Daphnia pulex: one gene and its partner. The protein of the gene in region 1 purifies or fractionates together with the protein of each later gene. This does not show direct contact. Links are inferred from orthologs where the notes say so. Each region holds a gene or a part of one and is shown on either strand. Other genes may lie near its edges.

Evidence for each region. The genes of interacting proteins can lie anywhere in the genome.
Region 2: the proteins of endoribonuclease Dcr-1-like (region 1) and protein argonaute-2-like purify together in Drosophila melanogaster (affinity purification with western blotting; 5 studies listed by BioGRID, with this or other methods). This does not show direct contact. The link is inferred for Daphnia pulex from reciprocal best matches to the Drosophila melanogaster genes Dcr-1 and AGO1.

Annotation. Positions count from the first base shown.
Region 1 is NC_060018.1:8,403,492-8,411,524, forward strand, and holds the start of endoribonuclease Dcr-1-like, read right to left. Parts: upstream 4,263-8,033; 5' UTR 4,128-4,262; coding exon 4,068-4,127; intron 3,967-4,067; coding exon 3,851-3,966; intron 3,793-3,850; coding exon 3,637-3,792; intron 3,570-3,636; coding exon 3,240-3,569; intron 3,126-3,239; coding exon 2,893-3,125; intron 2,798-2,892; coding exon 2,671-2,797; intron 2,603-2,670; coding exon 2,188-2,602; intron 2,115-2,187; coding exon 1,606-2,114; intron 1,548-1,605; coding exon 1,037-1,547; intron 981-1,036; coding exon 295-980; intron 207-294; coding exon 57-206; intron 1-56. Other genes in the region: serine protease filzig-like, read left to right, coding at 7,089-7,185. UniProt on the Drosophila melanogaster protein: Endoribonuclease which functions in microRNA- (miRNA) gene silencing and, independently of its ribonuclease III activity, also acts in the short interfering RNA- (siRNA) gene silencing pathway.
Region 2 is NC_060022.1:5,187,875-5,195,959, reverse strand, and holds the start of protein argonaute-2-like, read left to right. Parts: upstream 1-3,676; 5' UTR 3,677-3,981; coding exon 3,982-4,042; intron 4,043-4,109; coding exon of another isoform or gene 4,110-4,218; exon of another isoform or gene 4,219-4,241; intron 4,242-4,636; exon of another isoform or gene 4,637-4,873; coding exon of another isoform or gene 4,874-4,892; intron 4,893-5,407; coding exon 5,408-5,822; intron 5,823-5,894; coding exon 5,895-6,121; intron 6,122-6,181; coding exon 6,182-6,538; intron 6,539-6,605; coding exon 6,606-6,802; intron 6,803-6,861; coding exon 6,862-7,085; intron 7,086-7,153; coding exon 7,154-7,401; intron 7,402-7,462; coding exon 7,463-7,591; intron 7,592-7,665; coding exon 7,666-7,832; intron 7,833-7,890; coding exon 7,891-8,075; intron 8,076-8,085. Other genes in the region: uncharacterized protein LOC124196069, read right to left, coding at 1,527-1,549, 1,798-2,036, 2,126-2,279, 4,110-4,218.

The sequences.
Region 1 (8,033 bases):
AATTAACGAATAGAACCAATTCATTTTTTTTAAATGTCTTTTAATGTTTAAATTACCACACTGCTTGTCTCCATAGTGAGGCCGAAAAAGGATGAATGCTACACAATTCCGGAACAAGTATTTGTTTTTGTTGCAGACTTTCTCGCTGTGTTTTCTTTGTATGTTCCGAACTGGTTGGTAACATTACTCCTTTGCGGTTGACGTACCTATAAATTTAGAAGGATCATAAAAAAATATATATAATAATCATATTTTTTTTTTCAACTTTCACTAAACACATTTTCTTTTGCCCACCTTGGTGTTAAAAAATTGAGTCTGGCTGAGGTATGATCGACGTCTAACAGTGGCTGCTTCAGATTCTGAATTTGGATTCCATACTTGTGGCGATAGTATTTTTCAAATGTTGGATAGTTGTTATCAGGGAACTTAGATTGAGGGTTAAGTTCGTAGAATATCTCGGCCACATAGAAACATTGTGGGTGTTCTTGATCACGATACCATTTCATTACGACAGCATCAGAGAACAATCGAGGGTCAAAGACATATCCAGATCTGACTTCTTCGGCTATCAATTGGGGCTTCGAATCTCGAACGGACGAAATTAAATCGATGAATACAAAATCCAAGCTTAATTTAGAGTGTTCCGAGAATGAACTTCGTCTTAAAGGAACGATTAGATAAGAACAGTCGGCGTTGTATACATCTAACAACATAGGATCCTTTTCCAAGGAAAGTACGTTTCGAAAAATGTAGCGTTGAAAATCAGAAATTTGTTTCAACTGCCCTTCGGTCACTCGGATGGCATCAGAAATTTTTACAATTTCCACTTCCACCTCGCCTGAGCGAGTGAAAATAGGGAACGGACAGATTTGAGAAAGAGGTTTGCTGTTTAAAATTCCCAGACTTTGAATAGAAGTCTCGGGTTTGTAAATTTTTCTTCCACGCGTGTTTTGCTCCTCAGGTATAGGCTCACTCAATACCTAACAAAAAATATCAACTATTATTACAGTAATTTTTGACATACTAATACGAATACCATTGTGATCGCGTACAAATAGCAAGGCTGATCAGGACGTGGAATACCGTTAATAAACGGATCAGCTACTTGTTTATAATAGTACTGTCTTCGCTTGGTAGTGCCTGGGCGTGGTAAGTTTTCTGGTACATTTTCTTCTTCCAAATCGGCATTGTAATCCTCTTCCTCTTCAAGCCGAAGGTTTTCCTTCCCCGTTGGATAGAAATGATCGTCCAACTCTTTCTTTTGGTGCAATAACCGACATGCTTCTAGTGCCGCAGATCGTTTGGCCGTTACTTTTGATGGCATAGGTTGACTTAATACAGTCTTTCGCAGAGGAGAATTAATTGGTAACTGCAACGAGCATATGTATGCTACGTCCAAGAAAACGTTTTCTGTTGCACCACTATTTTTAAATAGTCCAATCCATTTATCCAAAACAGATGGTTCAATTAATTCTCGTTTTATGGTACGTATCCTCCACACAGGGGTTAAGCGTGTGAAACAATCGCTAGGCAACTTTGCGCAATATCTACAACAGAAATTTTTCATGAAACCTAGTTTTACAGAATTAAAAAAGTATGTGATACCTGTTAATTATAGAAATCGCGTTTTGCAAAGATGCATACGAATTAGAAGTTTCATCAGAAGGGTAGGGAGCCTGAATGCAATTAAGCATATCTTCGTTGTGGTTGAAAAACTCAGCAACCGAATTGTGATACCCGCTTTTACTTAACAGAATTTGTTCTGTTGCATGAAAGTGAGATAAATCCACTAAAAACTCATCCATGCGCTCATTTTCGACCATGAGGATGTAATGTGCTTTTTTAGCGCGAGCTCGAGCTTTTGAGTGAACGTAAGCCCGGTAGGATTGTGGTAAATCGTAACGAATAACCAGATGACATGCCGGAACGTCAATTCCATCCTCTAATACGCTAGTGGCTACAAGAATGTTACAATCACGACTACGAAATCGTTTCATGACGTCTTCTTGCTTTCTTTCTTCATTCTCCATTTCTTTGACACTCACGCCTTCCATTCGGTCAACCGTATACAACGGGCTTAGATAAGCTAGTTGTGGATCACAACGACTTGCATCCTATAAAAAAATGTAAATGAATATTCGGCATTAAATATTACATAGCAATACGAGAATTTTGTCGTTGTGGAACCTTTAAAAGATGGTAGAGTAATTTTGCTGTAGTACGTCTTTCAGTGAAAATCATCCCACAGAGCTGGTAAGCATCTTCTCGATTTCGGTGATGGCGATTTGAGAAATCAGGACGCCGCCGTCGACTAGTGTGTCCTGGTTGAGTTGTCGATTGACGCAAAATCGCTGGACCGTTTTCAATTAATTCTGCGGTTTGCGACGTTTCGGTTGCCAACTTTGGGGTCTGAACAGTTTGCCCTTCGGACGAAACTAAAGAATCGCTTACTTCTACTAATTCAGCACTTGTGGGCAGCACGGAAGGTATCGGCGGTCGGTAGATCCGAAGAATGTCCAACAGGCGAAGAACCTTGGGATGGCTAAACTTCACGATACGTTCATATTCAGAGTATTTCTGAAACTCTTCTTCGCACAATGATCTAGAAAGTAAATATATATATATCATGTATACAAAGTACGTTGAAATGTGTACTTTAAAAGCGCAAACCTTATTTCAAGTAAAACAGTGAAGACAAGGCATAATAGAAGATAGTGTCTTTCATAAACTGCTTTCGTTTTCAATTTTTCTAAATGAATGAGGTATACCAAAGCAGCACGGTCTGCTCCCCAAGGACCTAGGTCAATTATATTGTATTAATTTTTAAAATCGTCTAACGTAAACTTCTAAAAATAAATAAAAAAACTTATAAAAATATTTGTGATTATTCACCAAAATTTTGAATGATTTGGATGTATTCTTCAAGTAGATCAAGAGGTTCATGACATGGATTAGGAATCTCTTTTAGATAATCTTGTTCCCCATAGTACTCAGCGGGATCATATCGATGATCTCGCAGATAATCATTCAATAAAAGAATACGACCCATTATTTCTTGCTGCAGCTCTGTGGCTTCATACTTGGACGATATTTCACATATCAATTCTTTGGGTCGAGTTGAATGCCTAGATTAAATAAAACATTAGAAGAGTTAATTTTCCACAAAAGTAGTCAGCAAGCAGATAGCATATTGGACTTCATCATGCCCACACTAAATGAATTAATCACCATATACTTACTGCAAGGCTGACAAAACGTTGTTGGAAGTCGAAATAACCGATTTTAATTTTGTTTCCAGAATAGTTATCAACTGAGACAGTTCCATCGGCTTGCATATGTTATTTACAATAGATGCAGTTAATCCAAGGATTCTTGGATGTACACTACTTGCTGCATTTTCATAGAGAGTTAAAACTCCTTTTAAAGCTTCATTGTTCATAACATTATGGCAGTCATCCAATATCAACAAATTAAGCTTGTTCATTTTGAGAAAGTTTTTGTGGATGACTTCTAGAAATATGGAATATGTCATGACAAGCACCTGACTTTTCCCCAACTCCTCTGTCCATCTTGAATAATACATATTAAGTGTTTTACAGTTAATTTTATCCATAAAATACTTCTATAAAAATTTACCTTTCAGAACTCCACTGCAATACACCTTTTTTCTCATGAAAAATTCCTACTTTCAATGGAGTGTGATGGCGCAAGTAAGCTGAACGCTGAAGTGCCAATTTGATTGTTGGGGTAAGGTAAACTGAGCAAAAACCTCCCTTGGGTAAGAGCAGAGAACTAATTAAAACAGTAAGTAAATTAATGAGTTAAAATTTTACATCACTTCATAACTTACTTGCACACTTCAAAAGCTTTTTCTCGAATTAACATTACAGCAATGAACATCTTACCCAAGTCAGCTTTTAAACATGCAATAGTATTTTTAACTTTTGCAGATTCAAAAAGTTCAACCTAAAAAAATGTATAAACAATATTTCTTAACTAAACATGGCAATCAAATATAAATTTGTTAAAGAATAAGTCTAACAATAGTATGGAAATCCTATACAAACCTCAAAATCTCTTGGAGTAAAATTATCATTTGATGATAAATCCATCATTTGAGGTAACATTTTAGCGAATAAAACGAATGGACATAAGAGGAAACTCGAGAAAATTTCTGAAGCTTAGTAACAACTTAAGAACATCAGAACTCAGATGTAAAAAGTTTTTTGTTTACAGGTTTACAGCATGAGGATGACTTAAACAACGATGCCATATTAAAATATCACATGGCCGTGAAACTCCCTTTTGCAGGGTTAACCGGGGGGTTGATTTAACCCTGAAGGGGAATTTTGCTTCATCTAGCGAGGAAAAGACACACATATTTAAATCATTACTTTGTCTGATTGTTTATTAAAGAATGTATAGTTGTATACGATGTTAGATATCATCGGTAACTCTACAGCATACAAGCATATAAACCTAAATCATACGTAGATTTTTTCATATATAATCATTTAATTGTTTTTTAGTATTCTAGATATGTCGAACAATACGGAATTGTTGGTGTTCGCGCTTGCAAGATGATGGGGCCTAACGGCCTTCGTTATGTTATCGTCAGCATCACGCATCACCATGGGTTTTCATTCCCCACATCTACTTTAAATTTTTATTAATTATAGTGTTCTTGTTATTATACATCCATTTCAGTTTTCTCTCGTTCTGCGAATTTTAACGTTTTATAACAGAAATGTGAATTCGACGACTGCCGACTGCGGAGCACCTGGTCGCTGTAATTGAGGTTGGTGTGGTCAGTCTGAGGAGGACGTGTGAACGTTGTAGTTGTATGCCTACCGATCGGATTCAGCTGAAGCCGAGATCGGTCGCTAAGATAATGCAAATAAAAATGAACAAGGCAACTTGGATACAATTTTATGTGTCATTGATCGTGAGATGAAAATGAACTGTAGGACTGTAGATCTCTATCATTGGTTTCCTGTTTTTAATTTAATTTTTAATTCATTTTAACGAGTGCTTTTTTTTTCTCTTGTCTTTCCAAGAATAGTTTAGTCAAAATACCGATGACAATCATATCAATCATTTCTGAATATTTTGGGTTAAAGTCACAATCGGGTTGGATTAAGAAAAATCCGGTTTCAACATTTTTGGATAACAACGATACAAGGGCAATCACCCAACTGTCTATTGGTGCAGCAACAAAATCCCAAAGGCGGACACCCATTGGCCTTTTTTTAAATAATAATACACTAGTCGCTAGATAAGAATAGCTAAGGCTAGGAAAATAAACCAATTAATGTGTAAAATAACTTATGATAACTCTAGTAATCTCGACCGCAGAAAGATCATTCACCATAACTAGACTGTTCATTGTTTTCCATTTTTCAACAGCGTTTTCACGTGTTACGCACCCCTATAAGTTTTCTGGTTCAAGCAGCGGTTTTCAAATTTTTAATATACCTTCACATTGCCTTCCACACACTACGGTTGCTTAAACCGAAAAATGTAACATAGTAGGAATGTTGTTAAAGCCATCTCTGGTTAAAGCATATTACGCAGTTTAAAGGTCACATTTTACAACAACCCATTATATTTAAGACCTTGCTAAAATTCTATAATTTCTGCTGCAACTTTTAGTTGTGTGTTTCACTGATAGTTCAATGTACTGCTTGCAGTCTCACGTGTATTTTCGGTATTTTTAAGATGCGTTTTACTAATGAGGCGATGCTTCTAAACAGTTTAAGTAGAGTGCGAATCCGTTCCTGCGAGACGCAGCCCTCAAGGCTGACGAGAGCCACATTCAACGTGTTTTCAGCACTCATATACAGCAAGGCTGAAAAAAGCTATAGAAAGGTATTTTGTCTGTGTATGCGCTGCTATCGAGCTCTTCCTTCCACTTGTTTTTCCATCGCCAGTGGGAGAAATGAGCAACTGGTATGGTGTTACCCCCCTTGAGCCAGGTGGAAAAGCTCAGTCAGTTGGTAGCGTTGGTCGACAACAGACTCGCTGTGTAGTCGTCCTTTTATTTATTATTAAATTGTTTCAGTTGGCGTTCCTTTTTCCCCCCAATCCGTGTTCTTATTCTATTTACCACACTCGAAACAATCTGTTAAGTGTCTGTTACTTCGTGTAGTGTTGCTTGTTGCTTTCCGGCTGGATAATTTGGTCTTCCAGCACTAGACGAACGACGAGTCATTGGCGCCATCGCAACCTGTCTTGCATCAATTGGCATTCTGCAGTGGGGAAGTAGTAAAAGTACAGGATAGGGCATCAGCTATCATTACAGCTGGATGACCGAAGAAGTGATCCGGTTTAAGAAAACAGAAGGCGGAAGTGAAGAGGCAATACACATGCTATACCTGCCTTGCCTATACACGCCTCACAGACAAGCCAACCAAAACAATTAAACTAGCCAGAGAAAAATCTTTCCGAGGTGAACGTCCCATCGCGCTGAGATCTAACGGTTGTCGACGATTTTTTTTCCTCCAGCCGTCCTCGGTGGGAAATCTTTCACCATATCGGATTCTCGTCAAATCCTCTAGACTTGTGCAACTTGTTCTGCGAGAAGATTGAAAAAAGAAACGGAGTCAATTTGTTGGCCTCTCACTCAACGCATTCGCCGAATCGAGAAAGAACAACAAATCACAAAAGAGATTTACCTATTGGCTCATTACCTAATAGTGTCAACTCTAAGAAGGGAATGCGGCCAACTTAGGTGAGTTTGTTTGTAGTACTACGTAGTATTTTCCCCCATTTTGATTTTTACTGGATGGGTCAAGCCATTTGCTGCCAAGCATTTTCAAAAGTGACAGCCCAGATTTATATGAGTAAGTCGTTTTGTCATAAGGCAGCGAAATACGATAGACCACCGGAGAGATTCACAAACATGGTACAACAACAACAACAGGTGGTGATAAGGTTATTCACCCATCTGTTTTTGTTAGTGTAATACCCGGTTTCTCGTAATCAAACTGGGATTTCATTTCATTTGTATACGCGCCATTCAAAGGCGTTCATTCAACTTTGTGACTATATTTTTATTCTGCATAGTGTACAAAAGAGTCTGCACCAAGATGATTACGTTCTTCTGGCTGTGGCTCCTTCTGGCTGCTTCACCTCTCCTTGCAAAATCTATTACGACTACGGTAACCCAGTACCAAGAAGGAGAAGGTAATGTGTGTAACTTCATGACGTTGCTGGCTTTCTAATTTCTACATCCTGAAAACCGCTTAAACACGCCATTGGCTCTAAAAACCGCCTTTTCGATGTTTGACCTGCAAAAGTGTCACTACTAGAAAAATAATCATCTGCCGATTGCGGGGTCAATCAACCGCCTCCATTCAAAGACCTAACAATTTTTAAAACAATTAATGTACTACGTATCATAGCATAGCTGAGAAATAGGAATATTTAAGCTCTGATACTAGCGGATCTGAACCGACATAGCGGAATGCCAGAAACAAACGACAAGATTGCGTGATGCGTCGGGAAACGTCAACCAAGTGGGGCGACATTCAACGCAAGTTAGTGAGCTATTGAAAAGAATCATGCCTCAATTTCTTCCTCCGTACGTCATTGGAATGGGAGGTCACGTCTATCCGCCGATGACCTCAATGTCAAAAGGAAGCCGTCAGAAAAGGTAGGGAGGGAAGAGGCCAAGAAACGGGTCACTGCAAACGGTGGAAAAACTACTCTTCGCCAGATATATAAATGTAGGAAGTTCAAAAACGTAGCGGAAACGAAAAGAATACAGATTTGGGAGTTCCTGGTTCGTCGGTCCCGCTAAATTCTAAAATTCATCGATGACAATTCATGTCTCGAAATGTCTTCCACCAGGAAATGCCCTATTGACAAAACTTTCAAAAGAATCAAACTGTAAAAAAAAGAAAAAGAAGAATATGCCCTTTATATACATGCAAACCATTTCCTATTTGAAACACAAAAGGCCGAAATCTGCTATGGACATACGGTACAACCTTTGAATTTCAGGGTTATAAAGCAAATACCCTCCTTAACAT
Region 2 (8,085 bases), on another chromosome or scaffold:
TGCAAGTTTATGTACCTTGGTACGTTAACTGTCGCGGGGCCCTCAACGGCCCTCAATTTTTCCATTGACAATGTTCACAAATAGACTTTTGGACTCATTCCAAATCTTTTAACTCCGATAATTTTACTGATGCAGGTATTATGTGTGTGGAGTATAGTGTCCTTCAGTGCTTCTAATAAGGCGTGGAGATGCGGAAGTAAGAAAGGTACGACCAAACCAGTATACTAACCATATCAGCAACATATGCAGCACCTGGCCGCAAGCAACATTTCAATGGCCGCTCGCTTGTTCGTTCAGCCGTTGAGTTCAAGGTTTCCACAGTTCAAGCTCGTGACGAGCTTCGCAGGATGCAGCCAAGACTTTGAACTGTGATTTCATTTAATTAAACAACAAATTATTGATATGACAAAATATGTTCTCAATAACTCTGGATAAAAAAGTTAACGATAAAATGTTTTTCTATCGTATAGTAGTACTACAACCACATGGGGAAAATCGGAGAAAAATGAACTTTGTACAAAATCATTTAGTCCAGCAATTGGCATCTAGTTGTCAAGGGAAAAGTTTATGGGGGACATGTGTGTGTGCATTTGTACCCAAAAGTTTCGTTACTGTGTCCATCGACGTTTGGAAAAGGTCATTGACTTCATGATGGGACGCTGTCTGTACACCCAACGAGCAAGGACATCACTTGGCATTTGCATCTTTATATTGGTATCCATCGGTTTCTTTTTCTTTGTTTAGGGGTACCAGGAGAAGCTGTTTGAAGCAGCTTGCCAATTCCTTCAAGCGACCATTTTTAATGAGTTATTCGTGTGCAAACACACTGTTCTGTGACGTTGCCATAGCATTTGAAATGTTAATAGACGTTTGGCACGGCAAGCTTCATAATAGATTCTTTGATCAAATATCAAATAGAGTAGGTATACTCATAAACAATAAACACGAATATATCCTGTAAACTACACAAGCGTTTTGCCGAATCAAAAATAAACATGGCGTTTCTTGTCGTCTTGCTTTCGCCGCGGAACAATCTGCGATTCAATTATAAAGCTCATATTTAACTTTCGCGGAACCAACTTGCAATCTGTCTGAAGTGCCTTGCATTGTTTGTTATTTTGGCAAGCAGTAAACTCTTTCTCCTATTCCTTCATTTATGATCGCCATCTGGGTACAGCACTCCCTTTGTTGCCTTTGTGTTGTATATAAATGAAAGTTTTCGCAGCGTCATCTCCAGTCTGAGAAACTGGGATCGCCAAAAGTTCAACAGCACTGCGGGAACAAGCTGTTCCATTTATCGTCGAGTAAGATCGGCTCGTATCGATCCTTAAAATTCTATTCGCCTTTTAGAATGAACAGAGATCGAGTTGGCTGTTTTTCTTTTTTTTTCACCAATGAGAAGTGCAGTTATCTATCAAATAAAGATGGATGGCGAATCTCTTTACTCTCAGTTTTATTGTTTTGGGCATAGCACAACGTGATTGAGTGTTTCCATTTAGACTTCTTTGTGCTCTCGTCCAGGATCTTCATTGGTGATGTCCCAGATTTTCTACAAAGAGGGAAAAAACGGATATTGGAAATCTTTTTACTGAAGTTGTTTAATTCATTTCTGATTACAGAGCCCGGGACAAGAGTGCCACACCTAATCGGGCTAGCAGCCAAGTCTTCATCATCACCGATTCTACCACACGAGAATGTGATGCAATAGCGCAATATATCAACAGAGTATGTACATAGTATGTGTGTATTGATTAGTTCGTGAATGGCGTGAGGCTGCGGGCCGAAACTAGGCGTTACCGGATAATAATATAGCGGAGAAAACGAGGAGAACAGCGGTTGTCACCGTTAAGACCCAGCCGTCAGCTTTGGATCCGGTAAGGATCGATCCTGAATGAACAATGTGGTCGACCAAGCCGTTTCCGTGGTTGCATAAATCGCCCACGCAAGCCGTAAAGCACGTCCTTTCATCCTTTTCGATTTGGCATTTGTTCTGCTCAAATACTTTGGTCCGCCCGTCACATCCACGATAGAAACTCCTAAACAGTTTTCCGGATTATTTCTTTTTTCTCTGTAAATCTTCGCAAAACATGTTGTCTCAGATGGAGACATATCGATTCATACATACTTGACACGCTGAGATGGCCATTGTTCTACTCTCACGATCGTGCAAGCTTCCCGCGTGCAGCCATCTAATATTCCATGAGGTAAGGTGGAGGGGTTCGTCTGGCATTGGCTACCCTCTTCGGTAGAAGTGCAACTGTAGCAACGCATTGCACCATCTGTGTATATAATGATGAATGAGAGAATTAAAACAGCAGCGAAAACAATATGGCAATTTGTTATTTAAGTCGGGGTGGGCGTATTGATCCAGCTACTTCCGGTTGTGCATCTCGCCCACACGTCTTATAGGCCCCCCCATCGCCCCAAATCTTCTCTCTCGACTGCGTTCACACATGTATGATCGCTGGAAACTTGGCTGTCATCTTGCCGATGTTATTCACCATGTCATGTGGCCGCTTTTGGTATGCCCACCGCCCTATCTATAAAAGTTCTTGCAAGCCCCATGACGTTGTTCCTATGGCAAATCTATGCCAAAAAAGTAATCCAGATGAAAACCTTTGAAAAAAAGGAGAAAAGGGAACCCGGTTTTGTACGCACGATAACAAGCTATACGAAACGAACTCTTGTATGAACGAAAAATATCTTGGCCTGAAGCCACTATATTTCCATTGATTCAATTTTCGCGTCCTATTCCTCCTCAACCGAGTCGCTTAATAACATTTTCCCGCGGGGGAAAGTTTTGCGGCATTACAGGTCTGATAAACTATTTGTCGGGATTCAGCGAGTCCATAACCTACTACTACTACCTTATCTCATTACTAAGTTGGCCAACAACAAAGACTTTCATGACATGTCTTTAGCGAAACCAATTCTATTAGAATAACCTAGCAACATAATAAAGTTACGCAGACTTCTAAGACACCAAACGCGCTTCTAAGAATGAAAATCGAGTTTATAAAAGTAAATTTTCATTTTTAAAATAAAAAAACGCGGAAAAATCGATATTTGATTTGGAGAAGGAAAACTCAACGCCATCTGACGTTCAAGTCTAAAACCGCAAGACGATTCAATGTGAGCTTTGAAACTTGAAAATAGGTGTCGCTTCGAACCGACGCCGACGGGACGAATCAGGACCAACTACGCACCGTCTTGGTAAGCAACCATGTGTTGCATCTTTGACACACAAATGACGCGTCAAAATGAAATCGACGTTTGCTAAATATATTTCACGGCTGACCCTGAGGACTTCATTACGAACAAACTACGAAAAATTCAATGTCAAACGTCATTAAACAAGAATTTCATGGTTATTACTTTTTTCCATCTCTAGGGATTTGCGTTTTATCTTAAGAGAAAGGAGGGGGAAATACTTCTCTAATGGGAGGTGGATATATCTTTCATTGGCTTGCGGGTAGGGTGGTGGTGGAAGAACCGGGTTAAGTCTGTAGACGTACCCCAAAAAAGAGAAAGAGGGGGCGAAATAATAATAATAATAAAAGAAAATAAAAAAACCAGAGGGGTCAAAGAGGTTTTCCCCCTCCTTTCTTCTCTGCACACAACAGTTGGTGAAAGAAGAAGAAGAATTGTCTCTAGGCCGACTCGACACTGCGTGGTCGTAGCCCAAGTGCGTTCTCCGCCTGTCAATCGACGTGCAGGAAACCTCCAAAAACTGCTTTTTCAGTCGCTCATTATTTAGTGCGCGTGTTGTTTGTTTTTTCTCGTTTCTCCACACATGAGATTGTGAAGGGCTGATATCTCAAAACCAGCGGTTTGTTGCCTATCGCCCCAGTCGTCGTCGCCGTGCGTGCGATTTTTCGGCATTGTACTGCGCATTACACGAATCGCACACACGACACAACACATTCTGTTTCCCCACACACAGTAGGAGGGTAGTCGACTTGTGCGTCTTAGTTGAGCAAAATGGGGGTCGCTTGTACTCTCAACACTACTCATATTCTTATGGATAAATATGTCAATGGCAGTAAGTTTTCAATCTCTTTTACTATTCTCCCCCTTCTTTTCTCGCATTTCAACTCGGGTTTGTTTACCTGTCAAATGGCTCCGATTAGTGGTGGTTGACAGCGATGTTACCAATTTGGCGAACAACACTGTCCGGATGATGACAGCACCAATAGAATTCGAAGCAATTGCAAACATTGTCGTGTTTTGACAGATGAATTGGGAGTGTAAGTTTTTTTGTTCGAATCACAACAATGACAACAACATCGGGCACTCGATGACACTACACTAACTTTCAGGAAAACTAGCGTGAGAAATTAGATAGAAATTACAAAAAAAAAAAAAAAATTGTGTTGTGAAAGTTGTGGATTCCCCTGGATTTTGACCTCCCTCCATTTGCTACAGCCCAAGTTACTAAACAAAAACCGTGCCTCGAAATTCACATTTAAATTAGATGAAACCCTGAAATAATAAAATAGAATAACTAAACTAATTTTTAATCAAGTTGTCAATTGCGACAAACTATTTGATAATGACAGAAATAAAAATTTAAATGTGGACTTTTCAAAACGACGTTGCAAGTTGTTGGGAGGGATTTTTCCCTTGCGTCTGGTCGCGCCGCCATCTTGGATAAAACGAAGGAAGGGAAACGGACGGCCTTTGTGGGGTTTTGTGTGCCACAACTTCCGTGCGTCGTTGTGTGCCTCGTTTCATTTGGTGTTTCATTTAAATAATTCGTTACTCCATCCATCCATTCTGGAATTTGTTATTCTACACCAATTTTGCTCTCTCGAAAGCCTTCGATTTTTTTAACAGCGCCAAACTTGTCGATGTGGAATCGTGTTGACGTATTATGTACCCTGTTGGACAGCGTAAGTTGCCCTCGATTCTGCAAATTGTTTCGACCCCCGCCCTACAGTGTTTCTCATCTGTTATTCTATTAAAAGCTCTTACCACTCAGTGATATTTTCATACATTCACTAGAACAGAGAAGTAGTTTTTAAAAGACCTTGAGTTTGCTTTTCCTTCCGTATACGGTCGTCTGGGGTAATGATAAGTAAAGTGAAGGAACAGGGGCGTGCTGGCGTCATTTATACTTTTCATTCGATTCCCTCTACGTTTACACTTAATTAAGATTAAGAAACGTTTGTTTGCGTAGAAACGAACATTGAACGTTAGTACACTTGTAAGTTTGGCTAAAGATCTTTAGTCTTTCACATTATGCACCATAGTTCTTCAGCGCAGTAACATTATTCTCGTGCAAACTGAAGATGAATTCCATTGATATTGCCGGTTAAAGACTTCTTTGTTGCTGTTGTATCTTGTTGTTTGTTTTTATTGTTCGAAACAGATGTACTAACTCCCGTTTGTTTATTTCTATTTGCAGCAGGAGCACTTGGCCCTTCAGGTGTTGGAGCCCAGTCAATTGTATCCAGTATCGGAGTGGGAAGTGGAAGTAACAGTAGTAGCAGCAGTACCAGTAGTAATTGTGGAACAAGTTTGAGTGGAGTGAGTGGTGGAAGTGGAGGCGGAACTGCATTAATGACTCCCATGGCCCCTATGGCCCCGGTTCCACCTATGATGCCACCAACTCAACAGCCCCCACCTATGGCTTCGGCCGCGCCGCAAGCTGCGGCACCAGAACTTCCTATGTTTGTTTGTCCACGTCGTCCAAATCTTGGTCGTGAGGGTAGACCTATCATGCTAAGAGCAAATCATTTTCAAATATCTATGCCACGAGGATACATTCACCACTATGATATCAGCATTCAACCAGACAAGTGCCCGAGAAAAGTCAATCGGTGAGAGAATAATTCATCTTTAAAATCGTCTTGGATTTCGCTTTGTTTACCATTCGTCATACAAACTTACAGGGAGATTATCGAGACGATGGTGCATGCCTACAGCAAAATATTTGGAGCATTAAAACCCGTTTTCGATGGTCGAAGCAACTTGTATACCCGAGATCCTCTGCCGATCGGCAATGAAAGAGTCGAATTAGACGTTACCCTGCCCGGAGAGGGAAAAGATCGTGTTTTCCATGTAGCTATCAAATGGTTGGCCAAAGTATCCCTCTACGCTCTCGAAGAAGCTTTGGAAGGTATGTTTATTACAACTGCCGATTACCTTTAGCGCAATTTTAATATGTTTCTCCTCTTAGGTCGCATTCGTACAATTCCGATGGATGCCATTTTGGCTCTCGACGTGGTTATGCGCCATTTACCTTCAATGACTTATACTCCAGTGGGTCGGAGTTTCTTTTCATCACCTGATGGTTATTATCATCCGTTAGGTGGTGGACGTGAGGTTTGGTTTGGTTTTCATCAATCTGTCCGCCCTTCACAATGGAAAATGATGCTAAACATTGACGTCTCGGCGACGGCATTTTACAAGTCGCAACCAGTGATCGAATTTATGTGCGAAGTGTTAGACATTCGCGATGTTAACGAGCAGAGAAAACCTTTAACGGATTCTCAGCGAGTAAAATTTACCAAAGAGATCAAAGGTGGGTTCGCTGGTGGGTTGTCGCCTCATCCCTGTTCTTGTGCATCTTGATTAACGTTCCTATTTCTGAATCCCCATAGGCTTAAAAATTGAAATTACCCACTGTGGAACAATGCGACGAAAATATCGTGTATGCAACGTTACTCGCCGTCCAGCTCAAATGCAGTCTTTCCCACTGCAGTTGGAGAACGGTCAAACTGTCGAGTGTACAGTGGCCAAATATTTCCTGGACAAATACAAAATGAAATTGCGCTACCCGCATCTGCCTTGCCTGCAGGTTGGTTCTAATTTGGTCATATCCCCCTACATCTCTTAATCAATTTTTTTCTCCTGCAGGTTGGACAAGAGCACAAGCACACCTATTTGCCGCTGGAAGTTTGCAACATTGTAGCCGGGCAACGATGCATAAAGAAACTGACTGATATGCAGACATCGACCATGATCAAAGCCACTGCCCGATCGGCTCCCGACCGTGAGCGTGAGATCAATAATCTTATTCGAAAGGCCGACTTCAATAACGATCCCTACGTTCAGGAGTTTGGATTGACCATTTCCAATAGGTCAGTTATTGATTTGCAATTCTTTACGAGTGACATATTAAAAATGTAACTTCGACTTTGTTTTGCAGCATGATGGAAGTGCGCGGTCGTGTGCTTCCGCCACCAAAACTGCAATATGGGGGAAGGACTAAGCAACAGGCGCTACCTAATCAAGGTGTCTGGGATATGCGTGGCAAGCAATTCTTCACCGGAGTGGAGATTCGCGTTTGGGCAATCGCTTGCTTTGCACCCCAAAGAACAGTTCGCGAAGATGCGCTAAGAAATTTCACACAGCAATTGCAGAAGATAAGTAATGACGCCGGGATGCCCATCATTGGTAATAACGAAATAATTGTGGATTATGAGAATGGGTTGTCATTAAATTGAATATTGTTTAGGCCAACCTTGTTTCTGCAAATATGCCACTGGCCCCGATCAAGTGGAGCCTATGTTCCGCTACCTCAAGTCAACCTTCCAAGGTCTCCAGTTGGTGTGTGTCGTTCTACCGGGCAAAACTCCTGTTTACGGTACTATCATTTACACATTCTACTTGTGTCGACATCGACAATAATGAAGGTTTTTAATTTGATTATTCCAATAGCCGAAGTCAAACGTGTTGGCGATACTGTACTTGGCATGGCCACACAGTGCGTACAAGCAAAGAATGTCAACAAAACATCGCCTCAAACTCTGTCCAATTTGTGTCTGAAGATCAACGTTAAACTTGGTGGTGTTAACAGTATCCTTGTTCCTACCATTCGTCCTAAGGTAAAACGTAAATCAACTACTTTTCACACGAAAATGCTCATGTGTGTTGTTTTCTTAGGTGTTCAATGAGCCTGTCATTTTCCTTGGGGCCGATATAACTCATCCTCCAGCTGGTGACAACAAAAAGCCGTCGATCGCAGCCGTTGTGGGCTCGATGGATGCTCATCCTTCGAGATACGCTGCAACTGTTCGCGTCCAACAACACCGCCAAGAAGTTATTCAAGAGCTCAGTGCTATGGTCCGGTAAGAAATT